Linked DNA regions of Oreochromis niloticus. The protein of the gene in region 3 purifies or fractionates together with the protein of the main gene of each other region. This does not show direct contact. Links are inferred from orthologs where the notes say so. Each region holds a gene or a part of one and is shown on either strand. Other genes may lie near its edges.

Region 1 (7,553 bases), on a different chromosome or scaffold from region 3:
CTTCAAAGCCTTTGGAGACCTGTCCACCAATGCTGCCATTATGGGAAACCCCAAAGTGGCACAGCACGGAAAGACCGTGATGGGTGGTCTGGAAAATGCTGTGAAGAACTTGGACAACATCAAGCAGACCTACGCCAAACTGAGCGTTATGCACTCTGAGAAGCTCCACGTGGATCCCGATAACTTCAGGGTATGTCCCCACCAGCACCCAGAAACATTTATCACTATTACATCTGAAGCAATTCGTTAATTTTGTGCAACTCTCTCATCTTAGGTGCTCGCTGAATGCATCAGCCTGTGTGTGGCCGCTAAGTTTGGTCCCAGCGTCTTCACCGCTGACGCCCAGGAAGCCTGGCAGAAGTTTTTGGCCGTGGTCGTTTCTGCCCTGGGTAGACAGTACCACTAAATTTCTGGAGTGCCAGTTCATCAAAGATGTGCAACAGTTATAAGCGTGATTGTAAAATCATATCTCTTTAACTCTGTTGCCATATGCACTAATAAAAATAAAAAATAAAAAATAAAAAAAAAACTCAAATCAAACTCATTCTCTGTGCGATCATTTAAGGTGTTCTTATACCCGACAATACAACACTAAGACTCATTTAGTGTCATTTTAATTTTGTCTTAAAAAACAATATTAATTCCTGCTTTGAAACTGTTGCATAGAAAAATGAAATGCAATAAAGTGGCTACAACCTGTTGTAGTATGATCACCTGGAAAAGTGCCAGGGTGGTGAGAATAAGGTGTGTGCCCTTGTGAGTCAGCAAATTGTATATTTGTTGTGAGTTATTTACAGTAATTTATTTCTTATCTTTGCCAGGGAGAACGGTTATTCTGGCTTCTTTAAAAATGTGCAGTTTGATATAAAAGGGAGTGGTTTTCTGAAATTTATAAGAACAGTGTGTCACATATCGTGAGGGCGCGGTTGAAAGTTTTGGAACGGATACACACCGGGTGCCCGGGTCTTTTAGTACTTTATGACAGAAGATCTTACAAAAATCTTCATGCGTATCCCCTTATTATTTTTGAACAAACAAACTTACCACTGTTAAAATGTGCTTTATTTCTGTAGGCGTCCGCTGGGGATTATAGTGCAGCTCTAAATGCATCCAAGTGAATAAACAGAGTTCCTATACTCACGTGATATTCAAAATGGAGAATAAAGAGAGTGCAATCCATGCATCCATCCATCATCTTCTTCTGGATCTAAAGTCAAAGCACCCACAGTCGCCCAAATACGTCATCTAGTGGATCAAATTTGACATTGACGAGTCCTTGTTTTATAGAGTTAAGATTAACTAAAATTAGAGCGGATTACAAATGCTGTGCAAAACAGGGGAAAAGGTTATTTGTGTTTTGTTTTCAGACTTAATCATATCCCGATCCATATAGAGATTTAAAAAGAATCTCCCCCAGTTTAAATCTCAACTCAAAACCCATCTGTTCAAATCTGCATATTCACTGTGAACCCACTGTTTGTTAATTTTATCTTGTGCTTTTGTTTTATTGTTCTTCATTTTGTCATTTTTCCATTATGTGTTTTATCTAATTGTAAAGTGTCCTTGGGTGTCTTGAAAGGCGCTTTATAAATTAAATTTTTGTTATTATTATTATGATTATTATTATTATTGTTGTTGTTAAAAGAAAAGAAAGAAAAGAAAAACGGACAAGAAATGAAAATAGGTTTTAGAAACAATTCAGTTCCTGGATATCTCGTTTGGACTTTTACCATTTCATCGTCATCCTTTTCCTACTCCACAAAACCATCCTGATTGCAGTAGCGGTTTTAGATACGGGCGACACGGGCGGTTGCCCGGGGCGGCATCGTGGTGGGGCGGCATCACGGGCATCGAAAAAAAAAAAAAAGAAGCTCGTACTCATGCTGCTCTCCGACGTCAGCCAGCGCATATTGGTTATGGCATAGGCACCGATGGGTTTTCTATCGCCCATTTGCTGGGAGTAAGGGCGCCCTTCGTTTGCGAGGTGCGCCTGCTGCTTGCGGCACAGGGAGGAGAGGGCGGGGCGGCGGGGGATTCTCTGGCTGGCTGGAGCAGCATCTAATAACCAACTCGCAAAATAAAACAAAATAAAAACAAACCAACAAACACGAAAACACCAGACATTATTATACAGACTTATAATTTGCACCGATGTTTTTTCGAAATTCTATACACGAAAAGTGAGCGCGAGAGCCCTCGGTGTGCCTGCTGCTGAAGTCAAAGTAAACTTTATTGTCATCTGCGCTACATACAGTCCAGTATATAGAGAGACGAGACGACGAGGCTCCAGTTACAGCAGTGCAAGTAAACAAACAATAAATATAAGAAGAGTAAGAAAATAAATATACACTTTAGGACTAGGGCTAAAGGGATCAATAACAATTTAAAATTTACAGTTTGATGATTTAAAGTCTCACACACAACAAAGGGGAAGGGGCTGGCTGCTTCCAAATAGAGCACATTTCATTTATAATGTTGTAAATCCAAGCCCATTATGTATTCATGATTTGAATCCTGGGATGTGTGAAATCTCAGAAATGCACCTTAGACAAAGTGAATCTGTGAACTAAGGTGTAGGTGTATTAGATCATGTTGTGGTGATCCTCAGGTTGGGGGATGGGTGTTCATACTGGAGTGCAAAATTAAAACCAATGGAAGATGGACAAGAAAAGTTCAAAGCCATCAGGTGCTCAGTTTAGAAAAAAGAGAAAAGAAGAGGAGGAGAAACGAGCAAAATATACAGGTAAGCAGATGTGTCATTGGATAATGGGAGAGGGAGTATTCGCCCAGGGCGCCAAACAGGCTAGGACCGCCACTGCCTGATTGGATACCTCTAGCTGCTAAAAATGTTGTCCTCATCTTCATCACTAGGGCTTGAGCCTGAAGAGTCATCCCTTTCATTCTGGCTTTCATTCATCCACATGCCTCAATTTGTGGATGAAGGCACAATCAAAGCACAAAACAATTTCCAGCATTGAGAAGACAGGCTCCAAATTTGCTTCCTGCAGGTCAAAAAGCTCAAATAAATTCAAACTGGTTTCTTGAAGATTACAGTGAGCCTACTGCACTTAAGTGGGGTCCACAGTCACCAGATCCCAATCCAACACAGTAGCTTTGGGATGTAGTGGAAAGAGAGATTCACATCATCGATCACACACCTACTGTGTGATGTTGTGATGGAAAGGCAAAAATCTTTGAGGAACGTTTCCAGCATCTTGTTGAATTTATGCCATGAAGAATTAATGCAGTTATGAAGGTAAAAGGAAGTCCAACTTAGTACTAGCAAGATGTACCTAATGAAGTGGCCAATGAGTGTTTATTGCAGTGCATTTCATGTACATATGCATGGCAACATCTGTTTATTGTGACTATTTCATGTCTCCCTGTCCTGTTGGCATCTACAAATATACTTTTTAGGAATCCCATGAAAATCGAGCGACCTGGTGTGCCACTTTATGAGGTACTTTTTTATTTTAAAAAAAAAAAAAAAAAAAAAAAGAAGTATAATAGCGTTTTTATTAAAATTAGCACATCTCACAAAAATGGTACAGAAGAGAAAGTTATGGCAATAGAAAATGAACTCATGCTTGTATAAATAAATAAGAATAAACAAATAAATATATGAATTAAATCATTAAATAAAACAACTTTGACTTATAAGAGGAGTGGAGGATTGTATTACATTGTCCTTCACAGTTGTTTGTGTATCTATTATTATATTATACTTCTCAAATTAAGATAAACAGCAATTTACAATCACCTTGAAGCATTAGTAACATGTCCCACATTGTCCCACACAAACTCTCTCTCTCTGAGCTATATTTGGTTTCTTGGGCTGTCGTTGTCCTGCATATGCATCCTCTAAATGATATATTCCTGACAACTTTTTTTTCAAAAGATTCTCAAAGTGTTTTTTCTGACTCAGAGAGTAATTTCTTGCTTTTCATGCTGATGAGATCTGCGGTAGTTAATTAGGAGTTCATTTAGGTTATTTGTAATGTGTTGACACAGCACTGGTTCATGTCTTAGATTGGGTCTTCATAGCTCAACGTTAAGTTAGTCTGAGGGACTAAAAGTGAGTGAAAAGTCAGTCAATGTGCAAAGGAAAACTTCAAAATACCCTCATAAATCCTGGAGATCTATTGCTCAAGACTAATTCAAAAATATTAATAACAATAATTCAAGAAAGTCTCGCTCCTTGGAAGCAAAATCTATAGAAATCACGGTGAGTGAGGCAGTAGATTAAGTTGTAGCGGAAGGATATGATATCTGCCCTCTTTGTTTCAGCCGAACAGTTTTCACAGTGACACAAAACAATCCCAACAGTGGTGGATGGATGTGCGGTAGGGTATAATATCAAGGCTTTATAGTTAATTTTAGTCAGACTATAATTTGTCTCAGGTCGGTGTCTTTGTATGGCAAACACTGGTGTTAATACCAGGTTGAAGTGAAGCAAGATAACGCTTCCTGTCTGGTCGAAGCTAACTGAGGAGTTAGCTAGAATGCTAACATGATGCTCAACCCGTCAGTCGGTCTACCAGATGACCGAAAGTCCTTGTACCCTCAGTCCCAAAGTAGTGCATACAAATGCGGCGACAAAACCAGTCCTATTAGCGTCATACTGGTTAGCTCTGGAAGCCGAGGGAACAAACTCCTTTTTCGATATCCCTACCAAAAGGTCGCTGAGTGTCCGTCATCTCTCTCAGGTAGGCGTAGCATTAGCACGAAGCAGAAACATAAACATTTACGCACACACAGATAACCCGGTGTCACTTCCACGTAATTACATATTTACAGGAGATAATAAAGCAGCAGTGTAATCCAGGGCAAACCAACAGCCCCTTTTTGTTGTGATTGTCGACTTTGGAACCGCCGATTGCCTTTTTTTTTTTTCTGCGGATCGGGTCTATTTGTTCCTCTTTCTTGAAGTTTCCCTTTTTTGGCCTCTCAGATTGTTGTTGTTGGATGAGTTTTATGTGGCACATGAATTTGATGTACTTTTGTTCATTCACAAGTTGCTCTTGTTGCTGGTGTTGCGCCAAAACGTCATTGCAGTTGTTCCTGTGTGTCTTTTATGCCTAATAACTTTTCTTATAATTGCAAATAGGCTGCAGTCAAAAAGATTTCCGAACAGGATTTTATATAAAATAAAGAATTTACCTGTGTTGCCAGTATCTGTATGACTCAGCGTTATTGCACCTACTCTGTGTTCTAGATAAGGACTGGCCCAGGGTCCTCTTAAAAATGCATTTTAATCACACTTTTTAACTGGATAATTCAAAGATATATAAAAGTTCTACCTTGTGATAGGACTGTTCTTTCTGGCTCAGAATGATGTCATATCATTCATGAGCGATATCTTTGAGACTGTAGGCCATGAAGTTATTTACAGCACTTTAAATACCAGTAATTGTGTTTTTGGCAAATACTGGCACAGTACTGGTGCTGAGAGGCTTTTACTAGGAACAGGGGCATGAACTAGGGCAGCAAAAGCATGTGTCTCTCTAACACAGTTTTATGATCAGTGAGTTGAAGTCAGATTCACAGTGGTTCTTGTTTTTGTTGTGAATCTAATATGTATTTTCATAATGACTAACTCTCACTGATATCTGTCCACAAGCAAAACAGCGGAATCCATATGTGCTGAACACATCTGGGGATGAGCTCGATGACCAGGATGGTGATTCAAGGTATTTCTACAATCTTCATTTACTTTTTTTTAATGTATTATTCAACTTACTGTTTCATTCTGAGATCCAAATGAGCTTCTTAAGCTCATTATGTTTTCCTCCATCATGCTTGTAATCTTTTTTCCCTCATCTAGACACACTTTTTGTTTTTCAGCAATATTATAGATGCTGACACACAGTTTAAATCAGTGGTTCTCAAACTGTGGGAGAGTGTGGATTACTAGGAAAAACTATTAGGTTAAGCTAGGATTATTGAAAACATTGAGCTGTTGAGAACCACTGATTTAAATTAATTGTGTGACCTTTAATAAACTTTATTAAACTAAAAATATAATTGAGTAAAACAGTTCAGTATATGATATTTTTAAAAAAAACCAAAAAAACATTCACCTCACTTTGTACCTAATATTTGTCACAGCCCGAGGTGCTGTTTGGATAGACACTCTTTTTCCCAGCTGCTAAGAGATACACTCACTGGCCACTTTATTAGGTACACCTTGCTAGTAATGGATTGGACCCATTTTCCATCTGTTTAAAGGTTAGATGTGCTGTGCTTTTAGCGACGCTCTTCTGCATGCCTTGGGTCTAAGCTCAAAATAGTTTGTCCATTCTCCTTTGTCCTCTGGCACCAACAAAGCATTTTCACCCAGAAAAGCACCACTTACTTAACATTTTCTCGGCTTTAGACCATTCTGTGTAAATGCTAGAGTTGGTTGTGCAGGTTGACTTGACTCTGTCTGTATGCCTAAATGCAGTGAGTTGCTGCCATGTGATTGGCTGTTTAGATATTTGCATTAACAAGCAGCTGAACAAGTGTATGTAGTATAGTGGGTAGTGAGTGTATGTAATCCCCTAATGTGCATCTTAAGATGAGTTTCTATTTTGTCTTTCATGCTAGTAAGGTTCCATCAAGGCAGTAACTACACCAGCAGTCACGTTCTGAATTTAGCGGGAGCACTTCTTTATCTACTGAGTAAAACAAAAGAGTAAAACTGCTTCACAGTGATGCCACATATGTGTCAATAGCTGTATAATGTTCAGATAAGTCTGTAAAATAACCTATTCATTCAACCTTTATTTACGTTATTTTGTTATTATTAGCTTTATTAAAGCAAGCAGTGCCGTTCAATTGCATAAGAGCAGCTTTCATTTGGTGTTTATGACGTGAAACATGCCATAGATATTGGGCAGGTAGTGTAGGAATTTTTCAGACTAATTTAGCAGAACAAAAATAAGAAAATAAACAGTGGAAATAAAACATTTTGCTTGTATTTCCTGTTGTGTCATAAACATCAGTAGAGTGGAAAATAAGGATTGGCATGGACCACAGGATTACGACATTTCTGATATATATTCTATTACTTCCCACCGGCAGCATTTAAAATTATTTGAAGCCATACATGTACAAAGATGTATGTAATCATGACCTAGTTCAGACTTATTTTATTGTACTGTCATATTTTATTACAAACTTAGTTACCTTGAAAACCCTTTGAGGCGGGTATATAAGCTTACAAACCAGCACTGCTGGTATTAGGACTTCAGCACACCAGTGTTTTCACATCACACTATCACATGTTTGTTCGGCTTGTTTTGATGTCCATTTTTATGCATTTAGCCCAACTGTGTGTTGCATTTTCCCTTTTGTTTGTTTTTTTTTCTTCTTTTTTGTGGCCCAATCCCCATTTCAGAGAGCAATCTCCACTAACTGACGAACAGTTGGTAGCAGGGTAAGACGAAATCATTCTAAACCACCTTTCCTTCGCTTAGATCACCCCTGTCTTTTTATCCCCTTCTTTCCTATTTTGTGTCTTATATGGATCTCCAACCCTGATCTAAGTACACAATCCTTTTAAAACATCG
Region 2 (7,449 bases), on a different chromosome or scaffold from region 3:
TTTTAGTGCATTACCACTCTTATCTTTATTTAATTCAACTTCAATTCAGTTCAATTCTATTTTATTTATACAGCGCCAAATCACAACAACAGTCACCTCAAGGTGCTTTATAGTGTAAGGTAGACCCTACAATAATACATACAGAGAAAAACCCAACAATCACATGACCCCCTATGATCAAGCACTTTGGTAATAGTGGGAGGCTCCCCACGCTGAACTTTGATATAATGTTGTGACTTTCCATTACCTTTATTCAACAGACAAAAGTCACCAGAAACAGACTCTCAAGTAAATGGGAGTAGATGATACAGCAAAACTTAAAATAGTCTATAACTCAAGGGTTAGGTAAAAATGCAGCCCTCTGGTGGTTAAACTTAGCTAACCCTTCCACAGAGGATAGTTACAAAGAGCACCTTTGTAGGAATCCAAAAATAAATCTGGATAAATAAAATACAGTTTACATGAACTAAACCGGTTCACACTGTGCGTACGAGTGTGATTTTTACCATTTCACAGCCAGGTTCTGCACCTCCCCATTCTTGTCTTCCAGCAGTTTGAGCAGCATGGTCACAACTCTTCTCTCGCTGTCCTCGTCCAGCTTAATGCTGTCCTTCTGCAGCTCCAGCATCAGGTCATTGGTGGCCATGAACCTGCACGCACACACACACACACACATAGAGACCAAAGTTAATAAACTGATCTGTGAATCCCTTCAGTGATCCTTCTTTTCATTACTGCCTCAAAAAAGGGTCAAATAATGAATTAAGTGTATCGATTTGTTTAGATGTCTATTTATTCTTTAATTATTAATCCAGATTTTCAATTGTAACATTTAATTAGATGCTTTTTTCGCCACTTCTGTTACAATTGTGGTCTTTCAGTAAAGATGTGCACATTACTTGTCCAATAAATATTTAACTCATCAATTCAATGACAACAAGGAGAAAGGTAGAGGTTGGTATATTAAGTAATTCAAATCTATACTTGTGTTGTTGTTGGCTTATAGATGTGTTAATAACACTCAAAGAGTTATCAAAACATGTAAAACAGTTGCAGAATATACTTTCCTTGGTCACACATGACAGTAAACCCAATATGTGTTGTGTTAAAAACATCTCCAAAGATATTTTGCAATGTATTAAAAGATTTTTAAGACAAAATAAAACAATAACAAAAATCTCCAACATTCTTGAACCTACTGCTATCTACCTGGACAACAACGACTCACTTTCTCAAAATATAAAACAATTTAGATCATGAATTTATCATGTTAGCAAAAAATCCCTACTTCCAATTTCTGAAATTGAGTATTTGATGCTTTAAAAAAATCACAGCCGACACAGGGTTAGGGTTAGACAGATATTTACAAACATATTTTGATAATGATTAAATTAGTCAATAATATTAATATAACATTTGGAGTTTTTTATGAAAACGTAACCTTGGTTAGGTAAATTTGTTAAAATTGATTTTTGTTTTCAGGTAGAGAAAACTAATAAATGATGTGTCGATTAAATAAAAGTAATTAAGACTGTATAGAGGGCACTATTGTCTCCTGTGTGGTAAAATGGCACACACAAGTCGTGGTTTTAAAAAAGTGTCATCTCACTGTGAGAACTGCTCACTGTTTCTTACCTGAAGTCTTTGTCAGTGGAGGTCATTTTCTCCAACAGGTTGGAGATGTGGTAGGACACACTCGACATCTTTCCACTGTTTAGTCACTCAGGCTGAGAAAAAGTTTTTTTTCTACGGTAAACTCAGAAAACTTGCCACCAGATTTAAGCCGACAACATGGCGAGGCTAGGGGGGGCAGAGAGGAGAGCTGACGGCCCGATGGAACCCGACACTCGGCGTGCCCGGACAAAAATAGACGGCAGGGGACAGTGGTTCAGCTTTGTGGCGCCGCCGTGTGGACACACGGAGTCCGACCGGCCATACGGAGGCGGTAATGTGCCGATAAACCGAGTTTCAAGTCTTATTTTTACGTTAATTTGCCGAAAAAAACGCCGACGGTTATCGGTTAGTATTAACCGTTTGGAATTTGATCCCACCTTTATTGATAAACAAATTCAACAACAATTACAGTACCCGTTTAGATTTTTTTCTCCTCAACTTTATTGATAACTAACACATGCAGCAAAAGTTTGGGTTAACTGTGTTCTTCACCTTTCCTGGCAACGATAATAATAAAAATAATAATAATTATTATTATTATTATTATTAGTAGTAGTAGTATTATCATTATTATTCAAAAACAGAGTCATTTGACAAAAAAAGACAAACTTAGGACAAGAAACAGACCATATTTAATGAAAGAGATATTTGTATATTATACATACAGTTAAGCCCATAATTATTCATACCCCTGGCAAATTTTGACTTAAAATTACTTTTATTCAACCAGCAAGTTATTTTTTGACTGGAAATGACACAGGCGTATCACAAAAGATAATAAGATGATGTACAAGACGCATCATTGTGGAAAAAAATATTTCTCAGCTTTTATTTACATTTGAGCAAAAAGTATCATGTCCAGAATTATTCATACCCTTTACAAACTGTCACAGTCTCTGGGAAAATCCAAAGTTCCATACCATTCCAAATAGTCAAAGCTGTTCTAAAGCATCCTAATTACCCTGATTAATTGGAAATAGCTGTTTTACTCAACTCAACAGGTGAAAAACAGCAGCTCTCTGCAGGTGGTCTGTGGACATTCATGGCTAAGACAAAGGAACTCAGTGAGGACCTGCAGCTGTGCATTGTGGCTGCTCACAAGTGAGGAATGGGCTACAAGGCCATGTCCAAATGTTTTCAAGTTCCAGTGGCTACAGTGCAAAGTATTATTAAAAAATACAAGATGTTCCGCACTGTGGAAAATCTCAGAGGACGTTGTCGGAAGCCAAAAGTGAAACCTGTGCTGGCCAGGAGGATAGTGAGAGAGGTGAAAAAGAATCCAAGGATCACCACCAAGGCCATTCTGGTGAATCTGGGCTCTGCTGGTGGCAATGTCTCAAGGCAGACAGTCCAACGGACACTGTTGGGTTCCACGGATGCAGACCAAGGAAAACGCCACTTCTCCAGGCACTTCTAAGGCATGCCAAAGCTCGTTTGGCCTTTGCAAATGCTCATCTGGACAAAGAAGAAGGTTTCTGGTCTTCAGTGTTATGGTCAGATGAAACAAAAATTGAATTATTTGGTCACAATGATGTTGCCTTCATTTGGCATAAAAAAGGAGAAGCCTTCAACCCACAGAACACCATCCCCACTGTCAAACATGGTGGTGGGAACCTAATGCTTTGGGGGTGTTTTTTAGCCAATGGACCATGGAACCTAATCACAGTAAACAGCACCATGAAAAAAGAGCAATACATGAAGATTCTCAACAACAACATCAGGCAGTCTGCAGAAAAACTTGGCCTTGGGAACCAGTGGACATTTCAGCACGACAATGACCCAAAACATACAGCAAACATGGTGAAGAAATGGTTAGCAGACACCAACATTAACGTTTTGCAGTGGCCTAGCCAGAGTCCTGACTTGAATCCAATTCAGAATCTGTGGAGGGAGCTAAAGATCAGGGTGATGGCAAGAAGACCGTCCAACCTGAAAGATTTGGAGCTCATTGCTAAAGATGAATGGGCAAAAATGCCTGTGGAGACATGCAGAAAGCGGGTCTGCAATTATAGGAAGCGTTTGATTGCTGTAATAGCCAATAAAAACTTTTCTATTGATTATTGAGAAGGGTATGAATAATTCTGGACATGATACTTTTTGCTAAAATATAAATAAAACCTGAGAAATATTTTTTTCCACAATGATGCCTCTTGTACATCGTCTTATTATCTTTGGGGAGACACCTGTGTCATTTCTGCTCAAAAAAGAACTTGCTTGTTGAACAAAAGTAACTTTAAGCCAAAATTTGGCAGGGGTATGAATAATTATGGGCTTAACTGTATATATATATATATATATATATATATATATATATATATATATATATATATATATATATATATATATATATATATATATATATATGTATATACATATATATATATGTATTTGTATGTTCCATTCCATTCAAAAGGAGAAAATGTAACTTTTTGAAATGTTTTCACTAATCTAGGAGGGATCGGATTTTAATTTATTTAGAATGTGTTCATATTTAGCTTCTAAATAAGGTTAAGGTTAGCTCGTCAGACGCTTATGCGGAACCCTTGTTTACTGGTTGTTATTTCCGCCGGTATGATGTGCGGTGGGACTCGGTGGGAAACGGTTATCTTACTTGTTGCCACGTCGGAGTAGTCGGTGAAGCCGGGTTTCTTTTTTCTTATAAAGGAGGATTACTCGTGTTGTTCGGGGTTTCTGTGTCAGTCACGGTCATGGTGAGTTTGATAACTTTGCATTTAGGCCACCGGTGAAGCTGCTCGCTGACGTTTGTGGCATTTTCCCGGTTACCGTTAGCTGCTGACGTGCCCAAGTCCTAGTAGCTCCTTAGCAAAGTGGCTAGTAGTAGCAGGAAAATCAATGAACATTTTAATTAATGTGCAGTATTTGTGATTATATAATGTTTGTTCATTTCAGGTTTCCGTCATTAACACCGTGGACACCTCTCATGAGGACATGATTGTAAGTTTTCCAGTTTTTTTCCCCTTTTTTATTTAACCCAAACTAGTTGCTAATCACAGCTGATGTTAGCCTTCTTGTTTTAAATACCTGTAAGTGAGCTTTTACGCGTGATAACTAGAGATACAAACATGTGTACAATGAAACGTCAGTAAGTATTATCACTGTAACGTGTCATCCATTGTCTTTAAACCCAGTTGTAACAAACTAACATTGCTGCGATCTGACACTGCTAGCTGATCATCAGAGACTGATACTGTTCTTTTAGGATCATTGTCCTAATTCATGACCCTCTTTCAGTTTTAGCTCTCGGACTGATGACTTCACATTTGACTCTAGAATAAAAAATATCTGGGGGTTTTCTTGGATAACAAAATTAGATTTGAGAAACAAATTTATTCAGTTGTTCAGCGGTCCTTTTAAAAAAAAAAAAAAAAATTAAGGCTCTTATTCGAGGTGAGATTATTTTTATCCTTTAAAAACTTGGAAGGAGCAATCTATGCGTTTGCCTTATTTCAACTGGATTACTGTAATTCGCTTTATGTTGGTGTCAGTCAGTCCAGTTTGGCACGGCTCCAATTTGTACAAAATGCTGCAGCCTGTCTTTTGACTCGTGTGAAGAGACACCAACATTTTACCCTGGTGCTTGCTTCCCTTCATTGGCTTCCAGTGCAAAATGAAAATTAAATTTAAAATCTTACTTTTGACTTAATAAGTGCTAAATTGTCAGGCACCAGACTATTTGTCTGACCTTTTGCAGCTTTATATGTCCTCTAGAGGCCTTTGATCAAGTGATCATTTACTCCTTACCTTACACAAGTCTAGGATGGTTCATAGAGGGAATTGGGCATTTGTGGTTGTGGCATCGAAAACGTGGAACGATCTACCTCTCCACATTAGAAAGGCCCCAACTGTCAGTCTTTTTAAATCCCATCTTAAAACATATTTTTTCGCTTTGGCTTTTTATACTGCATGAGAGTCACCAATTCTTTTTATCCTAATTTTCTTTTAATTTTCTTACCTGTTGTTGATGTTAATGCCACTGTTTAATTATTACGTTGTACAGCACTTTGGTCAACTCTCTGTTGTTATTAAATGTGCTTTATAAATAAATAAATAATAAATAGAATACTTTGGTATACAGAGGAGTTTATGGTCGACTTGTAACTGCAGGGTTTCCATGTGCAGTGGCTGCACAGCAAGCCCAAATCGGCACCTCTTAACCATTTTGCTGAGTTTGGTTTTCACCAGACTTCTACACCTGATCTTGTCTGTCCAAAGAACATTATCCCAGAAGTGCTACCATGTTCTTTAGGGAGAGATGAGGCTTTTTCCAAGCAAACCAGACTTGTTCAGTTGTGCTCTCTTGTGCATTTAACCGATGTTGGCCGATACATGTAGCGTCTCATAGAAACAATAGGGTGTACTAAGTTTATTTTAAAGATCTACTTAAAGTTTTTTTTAAACTGACTTTTTTTCACATGACTTTATATGTCACTATGTTTCATAAAGTCCAGACTACTATACTAAATTACATATAAAAGAACATTTGAGTTGATTAAATTAACAATAAAACCAGGATTGTCAGTGGGTGACGACACACAGCAGAACATCATCAGCCCACTCTGAACCTGTTTTGTGTTAATTCACACAAACAGTGATTTTCACTGTTGTTTGTGATCATTAAGTCATACATGATAAAGCACATTGAGCTGAGCTCCATCTTTGGCAAAGGCTATTAAAATAATAATTTCAGAAACAAATCATTAACAACTTGCCACTGATACCCTGTGACTGTTGCCACAGATACATTTGAACTTGACTTAGCTTTACTTTTGTGCAGGTTATAAACTGTAACCTGTACATTTGCTGTAGGACTTTTGTGTTTTACACATGTTTATCTGAAGTAACACCTCAAAAACATGAAAGGGACACAATAACATTAACTAACTGAAGAGGGCAGTGGTAGACCAACATGTTCAATGAGGTAACGACACTGTTTGTGTCAAAGCCGGTTTTGAATACAGTACATTCATAGATATGGCTTCATTTCCCTGTTGGAAAGGACAGTCCGGCTGCTTTTGGCTGCTGACTACAGCCACTGAAAGCACATTATTTAGATTTAAGGCTGATTCTCCAGCAAAAGAAGATGTGCAAAAGCTCCTCAGTATCCGAACTATCCCTTTTAAGAGAATAAAGTATTTTCTTTTGACTAAATCATTGTTGCAGCATTTATCCTTTTTATTTTCTGTTAGATGATGTTTAAACTGAACAATCACCATGAGAATGAAAATATTAATAAAATATAAAATAATAAAATATTGTTTAAATTGAAAGGTAGAGGTGGAGGTTCTCACTCAGGTTTTTACATTTTGCTCTGTCTGTTTCAGCACGATGCCCAGATGGACTACTACGGGACTCGGCTCGCCACCTGTTCTTCTGACCGCACCGTCAAGATCTTTGACGTCAGAAACGGAGGGCAGATCCTTGTGGCAGACCTCAGAGGGTAAGAAGTAGGGCTGGCTCATATCTAGGGGTGCAACAATACTCGCATCTATAATGAACCGTTCGATACAGTGCTTTCGGTTCGGTTCGCATATGTATCGAACAATAGAACATTTTTTATTTATTTTATCAACTTTTCTTTTGATGATGCTGTCTGTGTTGAGCGCTCAGTGGATTTGCACTGTTGAGTGCAGATCCACTGAGCGCAGCGGAAGCTAGCAAGACAGAAGCTAAGTTCGTTGCAACATGGCAACTGCCTCAAAGCTCCCCGAAATTGAACCTCCCCCACTGCTGAGAATATACCCCAGAAGAAACATA
Region 3 (8,533 bases):
CTCTGTTAGTGGTCATGTCCCAAACCTTCACCATCTTGTCCCTGCCCCCCGTTGCCAGCCAACCCCTAAAATGAAATGAGGTGAAAGGCGACAACTGTAATACACCTGGCTTCAAAAAAATGGGTCTACTGCTCTACAAGGTTACAAAAAACATGTTAGCAAGGAAAGGCTGAAATTTCTTATTTCATGTCTCATATTTCTTGTCTTACCTGTCATCAGGATGCCAGTCACAGCAAAACACCGGACCTGTGTGAGCAGTGAACATTCTCTCATAGCGGTCCGGTCGTCTAATGTCCCACAGCTGCACGTTGCCATTTTCAAAGGATGCGGCGAATGTGAAATAATCCTTCATGCTGAACTGGACGTCCCTTACACTCTCTGACTGACCTAGAAGAAACAGGGGAAGTTAAGGGATGACAGCATTACTTCTGACAAGTGAAAAAGACTTCATCACATTAGGTGAACCATAAAAGTGTTATTAGTTCAGTATCATTAGTCTAAAACTGGAGTTAACTCCTTCTTCATTAAATCACTCTTCCTGTAAAGAAAAAAAAGGTCTTTCTTTAATTACATGGTTTGATTTTCACTGTTTAGTGAGAAATTCTACATTTTGTATCTCTCTACCACAACTACAGCAATCCAACCCTTTACAGCTTTGAACCACAGACATCAAAGGTGTCAGTTTAGAGGGCGTTCTGTAGTGTACGCATTGTAAAGTTCTCACTTCACATATTCTCAACATATTAAGAAGAAACAGCGCTACTGTTTCATGCAAAGACTTACTTTACATTACACATGAAAGAGTTGTTGCAAACTAAATTACCTGAGAAAGTGCTCACAGACTCCTTCTTGCGCAGGTCGAAGCACTTCATGAAGCCGTCCTGTGAACCACTTAGCAGCATGTAAACCTCTGTTGGGTGGAAGCACACCTTGTTGACGGTGCGCTTGTGCTCAGTAAACAGCTGGTCCTGCTTGTTGCGAGAGGGTTTTCCCAGATTCCACGTTACCACCGCCCCGTTGGTGGCCGCCGTGGCCAGCAGGTTCTCCTCCATCTGATGCCACATGACATCGGCGCAGCTGAAGTTCAGCGACGGTTTGCGGCCGACACGGAGATTCAGTTTTTCCACAAACTGCTCCTCCTCGAGTGCGTAGATCTTAAAAATGTTCCGTCCTGCTACAACCACCTGCGTGGCATCACGGCACACGCTGATGGCGTTAGCCGGCGCGTCCAAGTGGCAGAACATGGTTCTGCCACTGATCGCATTGCTGCCAAGAGCTGTGGTGACCCTTGACATTTTTTCCATGTTTCTGTTGCAAAAATAATGATAATAATAGTAAAGATAATATACTTTGTCCACGCTATCAGGTCAAACCCAGTTAATGTGACATGAGGCATTAGGTAGAGAACTACAAATACAAACTTACAATAAGGCTGTTAGACGCCACCAGCAGGTGGCACTCAAGCAAAATAATAAGTTAGAGTTATACAGCACTTCCTAGACTGGGTGGCAGCATGTCACAAATCAATAATGAACTGTGTCATATGTATGTCATCTGTTAGTTAAACTTGTGTAACAGCTTATTAATGCAAATATCTAATCAGCCAATGGCAGCAACTCAGTGAACTGAGGCATGTTGTTTTGTTGGAGATGACCAGCTGCAGTTCAAACTGAGCATGAGAATGGGACAGAAAGTGGATTTAAACGACTTTAAATGTGGCATTGTTAGTGGTGCCAGACAGGCTGGTCTAAGTATTTCTGAAACTGCTGACCTGCTGGGATTTTCAAGGGTTTAAAGAAAATGGTCTGAAAAATAAAAACTACCAAGTGAGCGACACTCTGGGTGAAGATTACTTGTTGGTGTCAGAGGATAATAATCAGAGTGGTCTGAGCTCATAGGAAGGAAACAGTATGTGAAATAACATCCAACACAACTAGACCATGCGGAAGAGCATCTCTGAATGTACAACACATCGAACCTTGAAGCAGCAGAAGACCACTAACCCTGAGTACCACTGCTGTCATAAAAGAACAAGAAACTGAGGCTACAATTCAAATTCAACCAGGCTCACAAAATCAGTCTCAATTTCTGCTTTTACATTTAGATGGTAGGGTCAGAATTTGGCATGGATCCAGCCTGCCTTGTACCAAAGCTTTAGCCTGGTGGTGGTCTAATCGGTGTGGGGGATTTTTTTGGCACACTTTGTTTCCACAGTCACCAGATCTCCGTGTACTAGAGCACCTGTTCAATCCGCAGCGACTCTGTGATGCTATCATGTCAATATGGACCAACATCTCAGAGAAATCTTTTCAGCACCTTCTGACTCTATGCCACTTTTAATTAAAGCACCTCTGAAGCAGAAATGGGTTCCAAACCGGTAATAGCAAGGTGCACCTAATAAAGTGGCCGGTGAATGTTTATAGAATGCAATGACATTCTGAAATGTTGCAGTGTAATCGCACTACCCGACACGTTATTGCTTTAAGTGCATGCAGTTTCTAAATACTCTTACGTATCCTGCTTTTAGTACAAGCTCATCCTGTGGGTTTGTTTGATCTACTCATCCTCTTACAACTTGTAGCCGCTTGGTGCTCACGTGATTTACTCCACCAAGTAACATAAACACACACTAGCTGGCAATGTGGCCAGTGTTTATGCATACTAACACTTTAACCGTTCACCTTCTTAATGCCACGTGTTGTTGGTGTTTATAATTTGTCTTTACACATCTATTTGTGACTAGTAATCGGCTTGTAGTTTACGCGTCTCCTGCTGAGTTGGCCACAAGCTGCAGAACTCTCTGTACTTTGACCATAAACATGACTGGAATGACATGCTAGTGCTAGCTGGCTAGCACCAGTCGCCGCGCAGGTTTGCAAAGACAAAGCGCAAACGCTACAAGTATTTAAACAGTCTGACAGATAATTAAAAAATCTATCAAATTAAGAAAATTCACGCGCTTAAAGTAAAACACAAACAACTTCTAAGGACAAACCTTGTGCTGTGAAGCTCGCCTTCTTGCAGCACCGGAAGTAGTATTTTGTTATCATCTCGCGGGATTTCCGTCTGAAATAACAGAAGCAACCATCACGCGGCAAAAACTTACTACTGAGCAGACATTAGAAACGATCTGGGTGGGTTTGTTTTTATGTCGTGTACTTCAAAATAAACGTGACATTTTCTGATCACCGCAATACATTAGGGCGAAAACAACACTTGTTAAGCGTAATGTTATTTATTTGGCTGTGTGAAATAAATGCTTCTGTGTTTGCAGGTGATGGTGTGAGCTTTCTGCTGTCATGAGCGCTCTGTTTGCCTGTGAGGAGCCAGCCGCATGGAGGAAGGTGTATGAGAAATACTGGGATGTAGTGGAGGCCAAGGCCAAAGTCAAGAAACCTGGGAAGCTGCTGGACCTTGAGCGGTGGTAATCCCCTATTCCACCTTTTTATCCATGTCAGCTGCGATTTAAAAGTCTGCAGAAAGCTGCAAGCGGACCTGAAGTTGGGGTTGTATAGTGGATACCTTCTGACCTGGTTTTACCACAATTTCCTCTTGATGCCTGTTAATTTAAAATTGAATGTGCTTTTTTAAATTGAATTGAACTTGGATGAGTTGGCTTTGCTTTGACTGTAAGATGAAAGGTACACAGATCCTAATCAGTGTCTGTGTGATCAGGTACCAACAGGAGCTGCCCTCACTGATTTCAAGTCGGCCTGACAAACATGTCTCTCTATCAGAGCTAAAGAAACTGATGGAGTGGAAGCTCACTGTGAGTAATTATTTCTGGACTCTAAATCAAAAATGAAAACTTGACATTCAGGTGTGATTAGAGGTTTACATCCCTTCATTGTGGGCTTGAATGTCATGGTGATTTTTAATTCTTTGGACTGTTCTTTTTTCCAGGGTGGAATGATTGCACATAGTACATCATCGTTATTGACTTAAAAAAAAAAAGAACATTGTGTACAAGTGAAATTATTTTGGATTTTCACTTGCCCACACAGGGTCAAGATTATACATACACCCCCACTAATATTTGGTTAAATGTCAACCTCAACCAGATGCTTCTGGCATAATTCTGGCTGAATATTTAATCACTCTTCCTAGCAGAATTGGTAGAGTTCATTTAAATTAGTTGGCTTCCTGGCACAGTCCCTGCTTTTTAATTCAATTTTATTTATATAGCACCAAATCACAGCAACATTCGCCTTAATGCACTTTATATTGTAAAGACTCTACAATAATACAAAGAAAACAGAGAGAGCCCCAACCGTCATATGACTGCCTCTATGAGCAAGCATTTTGGCAACAGTGGGAAAGAAAAACTCCATTTTAACAGGAAGAAATCTCCAGCATAAGATAACCCCACCTTTAGATACCTCTTGTGCTCTTGTTATTGTGACCAAATAGCTCAAGCTTTGCCTTGACTGACCGTAAAACTTTTCTTTAAAAGGCATTTGGCTGGTCCATGTGGGTGGCTACAAATTTCAGTTGAGTTTGAAAGTGCTGACTTTGAGGCAGATCTTGTTTTTTAAAATCATTAAAGATGTATGCTATACAATCATTACATCCTGGGAAAACAACAGTTCAAAGTAATCATTAAAAATCCAAAATCACCATGACATTTATGCCCATAGTGAGTGTGTGTAAAAGTCTGAGTACTTCTGTATGTTTCCTCAGCACTTGCCTCCTTTACAAGTGCATCTGTCTCACACATTTCAACCACATGCACCAGTAATTACTCCTTCAAACACATAGCGTAGCTTTGAAATAGCATGAAGAGTCCTAAAGCACTCCCTTCATCAGATGTGTCCTTGAGTGGCCCTGTGGGCTTGTCTGCAGAGAGGGAAGTTCAGGCCGAGGCTGCAGCAGCTGGTGGCTTCCAACAGCGAGGACGAGGTGGAGAAATGTTCCAGAAAGGCCTTCAGCCTTCTGCCTGACGTGCAGGCCGCCATTGCAGAGCTCAGCTCCCTGAAAGGAGTCGGCCCAGCCACTGCTTCAGGTCGGCACACCATCTTTTCTGGGATATGAAGACAAACGTATGAAAATTTCTCTGTGATCCTCTCCAAGTTTACAGAACAGTGCTTAGATCGAGTAGGCTGGAACTCTCTGTACTCTGTGTAGAAAAATATATGCACTTGTTGGCTGCGTTCAGCGTAGCTTGAGGCTGACTGTCCATTTTGTTCCAGCTGTGTTAGCAGCGGGAGCTCCAGAACAGGCTGCGTTCATGTCTGATGAAGCCATGGAGAGCGTACCGGGACTGAAGCCCATCCAGTACACCGCCAAGCACTACACCGTGTACCTGGAAAAGATGACTGAGAGGACCGAAAAAATAAACAGAGGTAATGACACCAAACTGGTTACGTCATCATCTGCAGTACAGACACTACTCATTAAAATACCACATTGGCCTGTGTTTAATGTGCTGTTTTAATGCCTTTATTATATATGTGAATGGTCATGTTGTGTAAAAGTGCTTTACCAAAAAGGGAAGAAAAAAAAAAAGGCTTTTGTATTGCCTCTCGCCCCTCAGTGGATCCGCTGCAGGACTGGACGCCCCACAGGCTGGAGCTGTGTTTGTGGGCGATGAGCATAGCCACACAGCTGCAGCTCCAACTTCTAAAGGACATCGATGTGAGGGGGAGCGCAGTGGGGAAGAAGTGCTCCGACAGTGAAGCTGACCAGAGACCAACAAAGAAACTCAAATCTGCATAAAACCGAACATTTTACATGAATGCCGATTTAAAATTTGTAGTTTTTTCCTTTTCCCAAAATAATAATAAAACCTTTTTGTGGTGAAGTGTTGCGGATCGACTAATCCATCACGCGTCTCGGTTAAATAACGTCAAAAGCAGTAGGATGTTGCCACAGTATTGTTCTTTATTTATATTGTTTCTAAATTAAAGCAAAGTACAATGAACAGTACAAAATAAAACAAAATATATTCATATATATACACAATATAAAATGGTTCCGTTCAGAACATTTAAAAAGTACAATAGATTGTGAAATCATTAATGAGGACTTTGATATAAATTATCCATAGGTAAATTTAGTTGTCCTTCAATTTCCTCTTGACAGAGAGGAAAAAAAAATAGCTTCTTCTGCTTGTTCTTTTTGTAAACGCTGTGTTGGTACAACCTCTTGTCTGGGTCTGAGAGGCTGAACCTCGTAAGCTTGGCACCATTTTATAGATACGAGTAAGCAGCTCATGAGAAACTACCAGAGCAGCGCAGGTACGACTTTTGTCATCCTAAACTGTGGGAGGGGTTCGACTCTTGCTTTATGAAATGACATGTTTGCATGATATCGTGTGGCTCAGCATTTGCGATCATACTAAAGCTAGAAAATGAGGTTTCAGCAGTGTTCCCTCCTCTCCATCTTTTGTTCCATCTGTACTCTAAGACAGACTTCACTAATGAGTTTGCAAGTGTATCTTAAATTCTAGCAGCTAGGTGGGCCCTGACTATCATTTTCTTTTGTATCAATATTGAGATTAATATGGGAAATCAAACTAAATATCTTTTGGGGCCCTTTAAGAACCTTTACCAAGTCTCCTAAGGGTTTAAATGTAAGCACTGGTGAGTATCCACTCACTCTTGTTTGTAGATCAGCTACAGTGCTATATCTAAGCAGAACTAAACACACAGAAAAGGCGACCTGGCCGGCCTGTTGTGGCACACAGCAGTTCAGAGGAGCTACTGGACACACGGATATTTGCACTGTGGTTTCCGTCTCTTATGGATTCTCTGCATCATCGTGTAGGCGGCTGACAGCAAAGCAGCCTTTCTGCCTGGTGCTTTGCTTTGAGCTCGTATATGTAACAAGGCATTGGGCGTACAGCACGATGGATTGGCATAGGAAGGTTAAAGGAAAAAGCTTCAGGAGAATGATTATGTCAGATGAGACTATGGCACACAGCAACGTGTCAGTTAAGTACATTATAAGAAGTGCAAAAACAAAACACTTGTGACAAAAACCAAGAAGTCAGAAACAGCCAGTGTCGAGTATGAAGCTATAAAGTTGCATTTTGAATGAGGCGAGTAGAAACTTTTAGCCTGATCTCATAACGCAGTCATCGTGACCGTATCGAGACAATTCGGGGGAGGACGTGGATCATCTGTAGTGATGGATTATAGGCTGCTCGCGCCATCCCTCACAGAGACTTCCTGCCGACTGTCGAAAACAACTACGTCACCTAACGACAGCAATTAAATTAACATCATGCCGCCTTGTCAGATCCACTTATTAAAGGAAGACATCCTGTTTAGGGTCTGGCTTAGGGATCTCTGGTTGGCGTGGCAACCATGTATCAGCCCTACTCTGCACAGGGAGGGGGGTCAGGATGGGGGAAGCTTCAGGTGTCTCTCACAAACTGTCACATGCTGTCAGAGCGAGAGTGTCCCCTCCTTTAAGATGAGCTGGAGGATGTAAAGCAGGGGCAGCTAAGGAGGCGAATCCAGGTGTGTTGTTGCTGCGATTGGCTCAGGCTTGGGCCAGGAGAGTTGGCTTACAGGAAACTGGTAAATTAATCCTAAAAACTTCTCTCTACACCTACTTGGTTTTTTCTTTTCCTGCCAATGCTATTGAACGCTTTGCTCTTGAAATAAATAAATTCAAACACTAGCCGTTTCACTTTGTTCCTGCATCTAGTTCTGGGAGTGGTTATATTCACAGTTGACGTGTTCTACAAAAACATAGCCATTGACTAGCCCTTTTTACAACCCTTTCGGGTTCCTATGAATCTTAAGTTAAAGAGGCACATTAACCTCCTCTCAGCCATCCGCTTTATCTTCATTATAGGCTAACAGGGTATGTATGCATTATTCATCAACACATCTTTGCTATCCCAAGCAGTAATATTTCCTAGTCAACACATCAGGGAGTTTCCATCAGGGATACATCGCTATCAACTACTGGCTGACCTTGTCTTGTTTAAATGTATCTGAAAATGGCTTATTATGGCTATTTCACACCCATTCCCTCATTTAACATGGAGTCCTCTGTCACTACTGACAGTTTCATGTGGAAGCAAACGCTGAGGACGGCCAACTGTCAAGACTGGCAAATGCTAAAAAAATTTTTTTTCCTCCCTCAGGCAGCCAGTGGACATTCAAATGAATTATTGATTGAAAGACTGAAAAATGGAACGTAGCATTGAGTAAATATAATTGCCATCCTCGCCTCGGCTTTCCAAAAAGCCCGAATCACTCAGGAGATAAAATATATGACAGGAGCCCTGTCCATAATTTGTTATTTGCAGAAGAGGAACTGCGGAGAAGCGTCCGCACGCCGCAAGGGGGAAGAGAGTCTGGGAGATGTGGGCACTTGCAGAATTAAGCTGCATCGGCTGCAAACGAATTGGCGAACAAGTTATAAATAAAAAGGAAAAAGAAAATGAGTCTAGCTACATGAAAATATCTCAAACAGTCCAAGGTTTCACAGGCGTGTCTTCTTTTCATTTCACCTGCTGAATATTCACAAAGAGGAAATCATTTTTCATCACTCTCTCTCTCTCTCTCTCACACACACA

The links.
Region 1: the proteins of wdr24 (region 3) and nprl3 purify together in Homo sapiens (affinity purification with western blotting; 6 studies listed by BioGRID and IntAct, with this or other methods). This does not show direct contact. The link is inferred for Oreochromis niloticus from reciprocal best matches to the Homo sapiens genes WDR24 and NPRL3.
Region 2: the proteins of wdr24 (region 3) and sec13 purify together in Homo sapiens (affinity purification with mass spectrometry; 5 studies listed by BioGRID and IntAct, counting the BioPlex papers as one, with this or other methods). This does not show direct contact. The link is inferred for Oreochromis niloticus from reciprocal best matches to the Homo sapiens genes WDR24 and SEC13.

What each region holds. Positions count from the first base shown.
Region 1 is NC_031969.2:24,429,823-24,437,375, forward strand, and holds the start of nprl3 (GATOR1 complex protein NPRL3), read left to right. Parts: upstream 1-4,273; 5' UTR 4,274-4,510; coding exon 4,511-4,706; intron 4,707-5,620; coding exon 5,621-5,690; intron 5,691-7,381; coding exon 7,382-7,420; intron 7,421-7,553. Other genes in the region: hemoglobin subunit beta-A, read left to right, coding at 1-190, 275-406. UniProt on the Homo sapiens protein: As a component of the GATOR1 complex functions as an inhibitor of the amino acid-sensing branch of the mTORC1 pathway.
Region 2 is NC_031970.2:4,864,671-4,872,119, forward strand, and holds the start of sec13 (protein SEC13 homolog), read left to right. Parts: upstream 1-4,169; 5' UTR 4,170-4,382; coding exon 4,383-4,385; intron 4,386-4,584; coding exon 4,585-4,629; intron 4,630-7,016; coding exon 7,017-7,132; intron 7,133-7,449. Other genes in the region: cand2 (cullin-associated NEDD8-dissociated protein 2), read right to left, coding at 507-650, 1,636-1,703. UniProt on the Homo sapiens protein: Functions as a component of the nuclear pore complex (NPC) and the COPII coat. At the endoplasmic reticulum, SEC13 is involved in the biogenesis of COPII-coated vesicles.
Region 3 is NC_031973.2:19,293,969-19,302,501, reverse strand, and holds the start of wdr24 (GATOR2 complex protein WDR24), read right to left. Parts: upstream 3,107-8,533; 5' UTR 2,996-3,106; intron 1,309-2,995; 5' UTR 1,305-1,308; coding exon 824-1,304; intron 388-823; coding exon 210-387; intron 66-209; coding exon 1-65. Other genes in the region: uncharacterized protein zgc:112496, read left to right, coding at 3,300-3,424, 3,676-3,769, 4,843-5,002, 5,190-5,342, 5,534-5,715. UniProt on the Homo sapiens protein: Catalytic component of the GATOR2 complex, a multiprotein complex that acts as an activator of the amino acid-sensing branch of the mTORC1 signaling pathway. The GATOR2 complex indirectly activates mTORC1 through the inhibition of the GATOR1 subcomplex.